Linked DNA regions of Oryzias latipes. The protein of the gene in region 2 interacts with the protein of the main gene of each other region in a pairwise test. Links are inferred from orthologs where the notes say so. Each region holds a gene or a part of one and is shown on either strand. Other genes may lie near its edges.

Region 1 (4,163 bases), on a different chromosome or scaffold from region 2:
ACATCTGTTGGAAGGTTGACAGGGAAGCCAGGATGGAGCCGCCAATCCATACAGAGTACTTCCTCTCTGGAGGTGCGATAATCTAAAAGCATAAATGAGGAGTTAGCAAGTACAGTAGTGAAAAAAAACACTGAAGTGCTTTAGATGGAGCACTTTAGACTTTGTGCGCAAACTCAAGTCTCCATACCTTAATCTTCATTGTAGTGGGGGCCAAGGCAGTGATCTCTTTCTGCATGCGGTCAGCAATGCCAGGGTACATGGTGGTACCGCCAGACAGCACAGTGTTGGCATACAAGTCCTTACGGATATCAACATCACACTTCATGATGCTGTTAAAGGTAGTTTCATGGATACCACAAGACTCCATACCTGTGCATGAGAGTTAAAATACAGCCGTCACTTTTCAACATCAGATGTGCCAATATTCAACCCATATTGCATGAGGATGTAAGGTTTACCAAGGAAAGAAGGCTGGAAGAGCGCCTCTGGACAACGGAACCGCTCGTTTCCAATAGTGATGACCTGGCCGTCTGGCAGTTCGTAGCTCTTCTCTAGTGAGGATGAAGATGCAGCAGTTCCCATCTCCTGCTCAAAGTCCAGTGCAACATAACACAACTTCTCCTTAATGTCACGCACAATCTCACGCTCAGCTGTAAAACAGACAGAAGAAAGCAGTTTATATTTAGTTTTCAACTCTCCACATCCTATTGCTCAAATGTAAAACAGGGCCCACCTGTGGTAGTGAAGCTGTAACCCCTCTCAGTCAGGATTTTCATGAGGTAGTCTGTGAGGTCTCTCCCAGCCAGGTCCAGCCTCAGAATGGCATGGGGCAGAGCGTAGCCTTCATAGATGGGTACTGTGTGGGTCACACCGTCACCAGAATCCATGACGATTCCGGTGGTGCGTCCAGAGGCGTACAGGGAGAGCACAGCCTGGATGGCCACGTACATGGCAGGAGTGTTGAAGGTCTCAAACATGATCTAGAAGAAGAGCAGTGGAGACCTTAGGTCAGTGAATCACACCAGTTATTGTTAAGATCACTATAACCACCACACCAGCTGAATTCAATACAAGTTAAGATTACTTGAGCACAGCCACACAGTTATGCAGAACACAGCAATATAAAGTGATTGTTTAAATTTGTTGACAAGCACATCAGTTGATAGATCAGAAAAGTTTGTGCCCATGCTGCAAAGAGTCATTCCTGATGCAGTGCAGGAAGATCAAAACCTTAAAACATCCGCAGAGGTAAAGAGATCAGCTCAGGAGAGAAGAGTCCTGGAGTATAAGGAGGAGCAGGAGGAAATGATATGGAGCATGAAAAATGAAAAGATTGAAACAGCTTCTGAATGGAAGCTGCAAATGAGCTGGCAACGCAATTCAGAAAACAGTTTCAGGATCCTCACCTGCGTCATCTTTTCTCTGTTAGCCTTTGGGTTTAGGGGGGCCTCAGTCAGCAGGACTGGATGCTCCTCAGGGGCAACTCTGAGCTCATTGTAGAAGGTGTGATGCCAGATCTTCTCCATGTCGTCCCAGTTGGTTACAATACCATGCTCAATGGGGTATTTGAGGGTAAGGATTCCTCTTTTGCTCTGTGCTTCATCACCAACATAGCTGTCTTTCTGGCCCATACCAACCATCACACCCTTGGAAGGCAAAGTTTAAAGTTAGCCCCAAACAAAAACTCTCTGGCTTTGGGTTATGCTGCAGGTAAAAAAAAAAGGCTGTACCTGATGCCGGGGGCGGCCAACGATGGAGGGGAAGACGGCACGAGGAGCGTCATCCCCAGCAAACCCAGCTTTGCACATACCAGATCCATTGTCAATAACGAGGGCAGCAATTTCTTCTTCCATTTTCTGCAGAAAGAAAAATCAGAAACTCAGCATCTACCACTGGACAGTCCTGTTTCAGGGTCTGGACGCTGGGTGTCGCTGTGGTGTCGTTTCGAGTTTAAAAATGCAGGGCTTTGAAACAAAAGGGGTTTCTAGCCCGTCTGACCATGGCCATATAAGGCAAAAGTGAGAGCAGCCTCACCGGCAGCAGCAGACCGGTCCAGAAACCACCCCGTGTCCCAAACAGGTTCGGATGACACCGACAGACGGCCACCCCCTTCAAACATCCTTACCAATCTTTTTTGCCCTCAGCACATCGCATCACTGTCATAAATGTTTGATTGTTTTCCAGAACTACAGCTTTAAACCCGTCAAATAAGCAAAGTCATCCCAGCAAGTGCAGCGAAGGCAGAAAAACTACAGAAAAACACAACGTTTTTTTAAAGCTCAACGGACTTGCTGATTAAAAATAAAATAAAGGCTTAATGTATAAAATAATACTTTAGAATGAAGCAAATGTAAAGTCCTTCATCGTCGGGCCGAAACCCGAGACGTCAGAAGAACCGCAAACCTTGTGGATGCTGGCATGCAGGAGAAGGTCAAACTTGTCAACGCGGCTAGTTAAATATACGAGCGGAATGATAATAGCATCAAACACAGGGATATTTACGACGGAGAAGCAGACATGACAGCAGTTTGTCATTCATTGACACAGCGACATAACATTTTAATTTGCTATCGCCAGACAGAAGTCGCCGACTTTAAACATTTAGGTCTTTAACGTATCGAATAGGGCGTAAATTTTATAAGCAAGAAAACAAAAAGTCAAAAGTTGCCTCTTACCTGTATGAATGGGGGTTCACGACTTGTGAAGACTCTCGCCGGAAGGCAACACTCCTGCGGAGTTTAGTGTTTGAGCTACACTGCAATGAAGGCCTGTGAAGTGCGGGCTTATATGTGAGCTCGTGCTGCAGCCCCTCTCCATAAAAGGAGAACTTTCCGCACGGCGTCCTCTGATTGGCTCCGCCGCATCCACTGGGTGTGGCTCATGCAGATAGCTGCCGTGCACCCTGGCACGCGGGGGACAAGGACCGTGAAAAGTAACCCCTATATTTTGAGGGTTAAGTGTCAGGGGTCATTGGTCACTGTGTTTTTTTTTAAGTGGTTTGTTTTTGTTCTTATTTTTTTTATTATTGTTTTTGAATGAGTGACTTAAAACCCAGCAATTACAACTGCTAACATGGTTCTTGAGAATCAGCTTAAAAACATGTTTTTCTGTTGTGTTGTTCTCACATTAGGGATAAGTCCAGTTAAATTAAAAACATGCAATCATATGTTTACTCCTTATCATCTACCCTGTAATTTGGCTAAGGTAATCCTATAATTTTGCTTGTCCACTTGTTTTTTTCTTAACCAGATCTTCAAAAAAAAAACGTAACAATTTAGGAACTTTTTTTTATATAACTGAATTGTGTCAATCTTTGAACATCCAATTTTTCCCACCGATCACAGACACGTGTATTTGGCAGCCTTGGACTGGTTACAGTTTCAGGGTCACTGACAGTAGTGTTAACACCCTGCACAATATGTGCTCCTGCGTACCGGTCTCACTTACACGTAAGCACATATATCAGAGTGACAAAGATACGCGTGTCCAAGTTGATTTTGGTTTACAGCAAAACGGAGAATCTGTTAATCCCTCTTTTGCACTCATCAGTTTCGTGATGTGTTCGCCTTTGAATGAAAAATATGCAACCTGCTATGACTCACTTGAGTGCACAGAATTACGCAGCACCTGTTGGCATTTTAACCTGAAATGGTGGGTGGAATGTAGTATTCAGCTTTGCGATGCAAATCTGTCTTTAGAAGCTTATGTTGTAAGCAGACAAGACAAAGAGTGGCTTAGTCAGGGTGGCGTTTTAACTCAATTAGGGCACAGGACCAATAGTACTAGTGACTCTGAGATTTGCTCCCTGTGCTCCTAATATGGATATTTGGGAGCCTGCTCTCCAGCAGGGAAGGGAAGTCACATTTTATGGTGCTTTATTTTTTGTAGATGCACACAGGAAGTGTTTGCAGCTAAAGACACATATGGTGTGGTGGTAGTGGGGGGGTTGAGTTGGAGTGATGAGCTGATCAGGGAATTGGCTTTTCTGAGTGGCATTATCCTGTTTTAGAAAGACAAGCACCAATTATAGCGCCAGAGCAGGCTATCCATCCCTTTAAGAGTTCCTTTGGATGACATCCATAAAAGGAGATATCGGAGGATGTCACATGGGGGGAAGAATGCACTGCTGGGATCATGTGACTTGTCCAAAGAAATGAATGAAT
Region 2 (2,944 bases):
CAGCGCCTGCCGAGGCTCATCGGTGTTCCAGCTGCCTTGGATCTCATCACCACAGGTGGAGCAGCTAAGAGTACTTTGACTTACCAACAACAAACTTGAATGCTGAAAAAAAAACTGGTCATCACAAGTAACAATAGTAAAGTCTGTTTGAAAAAGATTTTTCTTTAAATAATAAGGTTTATGAAGCATTTGAAGGTAAAAGATTTTGTCCGTATTTTCCGTTTGACTCTTATCTTAAACTTGATTTATCTTGCTTTCTAGAAATCCACTTACATTCAAACAAAAACGTCTTATTGAATAACTACAATTTGTTTTATAGAACTACCATTTAGCACCAGCAGGTGGCAACCTTTAAAACTAGTAAACCGTTCATTATAATTCATCTTTGGCTGGGTAAGCTGAATTGATTGTGATGTTATTTTTTGATAACTGCTTTATTCATCTGTAAAAACATTCTTGTTAACACTTTAAATAGGATGTTTTGTGTTTTTGTCCCACAGGCCGCCACGTGACCGGCGCCGAAGCCCTGCAGCTTGGATTAGTCGACAAGGTTACTGACAGAAACACTGTGGATGAAGCTGTGAAATTTGCTTTGAGTGTTGCAGGTGAGAGGCAATGGGGGGGGAGGGGGGTACTTACTAGAGTAAAATCCAACCCCCCCCCTTGACTGGTTTAAAAATTTACTCTGTGGAAGAACAAGAAATTCCTTCTACTGGAGTTATTTTAGGTAAACCTGTCATCAAGGCACCCAGTCATCTCTGCTGTGGAAGCCAAAGGAGGCAGAGAGACATGTAAGGCAGATCCACCACCACAGGAGCCATGAATGTTTCATGGTGCTGTCAGATGGGCTCTGATGTCTTCACTACATTTGCTGGATTATTCAAGAGGGCGAAAAGCGACAAACTTTTGTAGAATTTTAATGCAGGGCCCCCACCATTCATTTAGGAGGAAAAGAGCTGCGGCACGCATGTGAGCCTGACTCAGTTGCAGACGGAGAGGAGTCCTGAAGTGTGCCATGTCCCCACAGTTTAGGAAGAAGGATTTCTTGGTCTGTGTGAAGACCGCCCCATTCAGCTTTACTCGCTTGTAATGAAACTGACAGAGCACCAGTGGGCATAAGAAAACTGTGTTATTCCCCAAACCAGTCAGAGCCATTTAACATTTTAGGGCACTAACTAAATCTTTTCTTCTTCTTTTTTTTTATCAAAGCACATTAGTACTTTATCTTTTACCAAGGGCTAAATCATTTTTCATCCCTCCTGTGTGTCCTGAATTATCCACAGCTAAGGTTGCTCCTGATTCCACATGAAAGAAATTTGAAATGAAGTCTTCATGACTGAACTGTAGGCTTCAAGTTGTTGTTATCTCGTTGTTATCCGAGCGGTGACAGCTTCTTCCGCAGACGCATCAGTGAGCGCAGTGCCTGTTTGTGTCTGATATCATGCCCGTGGCAAAAAATCTTGTATCTGTGCAAAATGTCAACAGTTAAGCCTGTTGAATGGCAAGTCAAACATCATTTTTACAATCAAAATATGAAGTCTTCAAATGTTGTTGTTTTTTTTTTCTTATTTCCCTGCACTACATGAGGACTGAATGTCAGAGGAGGTGAGTGTTGATAGTAAAAGCAAGACTGTTATAAAAAGAACTGAAGAGATGGCAGGAAATCAGGGAAATTCTGGCAGATTTTACATCCTTGTGTTAGTTAGGAGGGAAAAATGAGGACAGGAAATGTTTTGTTTAACGCAAAAAGCCAGCAAAAATGTGTGAGACCACAAGATTTCTCTTGAGACCTGCTTAGATGCTATTCCAGTGAGCATATTTTATATTTAACTTTGTTTTGGTTTTTTTTGCACAATGTGAAGTGTGCGCTTACACTGATGACTGCGTGCTCACTCTCCCAACACTCATACACAAATGGATTTAAGTCTCACTGGTGACTGATGAGATTATGGGACTTTTTTTAACCTCAGAGGTTGCAACATCTGCCCACTACATCTGTCCAGACAGCTAGGATTCCCATTCGCTGTAAATCCACAGCTCGGCCATTTACAGATTAATCTGCTGCAATAATGCCTCCTAAATTACACTGGAACCACTGCACTGCAATAAAACACCTCCCTCTTGTTAAAATTGTGGGGTAACATGCATAGGAATGTCCAAAAAATAACATTTACTCAGTATTTTCTTTAGAGATGATAAATGGTAACACAAAAAATAGTTTAATGCTGGAAAACTTAGACAACCCATCAATCAGATTTGACTGCTGTCCCTTTAAGCTTCACCATGGTGACCCATTTTCTGGTCCAGACCCACAGCTGAGTGTAATTCAGTGAAGCTGTGAAAGATTCTGACTTCTGTCTCATGTAATCACATCAGAGAAGACAGCGCTGGGATTTCAAATGCTTTTATTTTTAACAAGGTCTTAGCATAGGAGCCATTAAAGTTGAAATCACTGAAACCTCATGTAAAGATTCAATGAGGAACAATATAGTTTTTGGGAAAATGGGCTGGAGGTTTTTTGTTTTGGTTTATATAGAAAAACTAAAATATTGATTCTTTATTCGCCTATTTTCCTCCAAACTGACTCATTGTTTTTCGTTTTGTTTGAGATATTCGGTATTCAAGGTGAGCTGTGTCGGTTCATTGCCAAAGCTCCTGCAATTATCTGGAAATAGCCTGTCAAATCGGCCTGCTCTTAGTGTCTGCTGGGATACCTAGTTATTGAGGAGAAGAGTGTGCCTGAAAACATTCCCACACCTGAGCACCAGTTAATAACTGTGTAAAAAAAATAAAGCACTGCCAGTGGGAAGTAATATGCTCATTTGATTTCACAAACTTGAATTTTTACTTTTGCATATTTTCAGAAGTTGAATTATGAAACACATTTCTGATCTACTTCTAACTTTCTTCCTCAGATCAACCCCCTAACTCCCGTCGTGTAAGC

What was found. The genes of interacting proteins can lie anywhere in the genome.
Region 1: the proteins of ehhadh (region 2) and actin, cytoplasmic 2 interact in binary tests that used the Homo sapiens proteins (3 or more experiments, as listed by UniProt). The two-hybrid records come from large-scale screens. The link is inferred for Oryzias latipes from reciprocal best matches to the Homo sapiens genes EHHADH and ACTG1.

The regions. Positions count from the first base shown.
Region 1 is NC_019859.2:22,455,868-22,460,030, forward strand, and holds the start of actin, cytoplasmic 2, read right to left. Parts: upstream 2,801-4,163; 5' UTR 2,676-2,800; intron 1,857-2,675; 5' UTR 1,854-1,856; coding exon 1,731-1,853; intron 1,647-1,730; coding exon 1,407-1,646; intron 981-1,406; coding exon 734-980; intron 651-733; coding exon 459-650; intron 370-458; coding exon 188-369; intron 83-187; coding exon 1-82. UniProt on the Homo sapiens protein: Actins are highly conserved proteins that are involved in various types of cell motility and are ubiquitously expressed in all eukaryotic cells.
Region 2 is NC_019879.2:20,083,429-20,086,372, reverse strand, and holds part of ehhadh (peroxisomal bifunctional enzyme), read left to right. Parts: coding exon 1-55; intron 56-500; coding exon 501-605; intron 606-2,915; coding exon 2,916-2,944. UniProt on the Homo sapiens protein: Peroxisomal trifunctional enzyme possessing 2-enoyl-CoA hydratase, 3-hydroxyacyl-CoA dehydrogenase, and delta 3, delta 2-enoyl-CoA isomerase activities. Catalyzes two of the four reactions of the long chain fatty acids peroxisomal beta-oxidation pathway.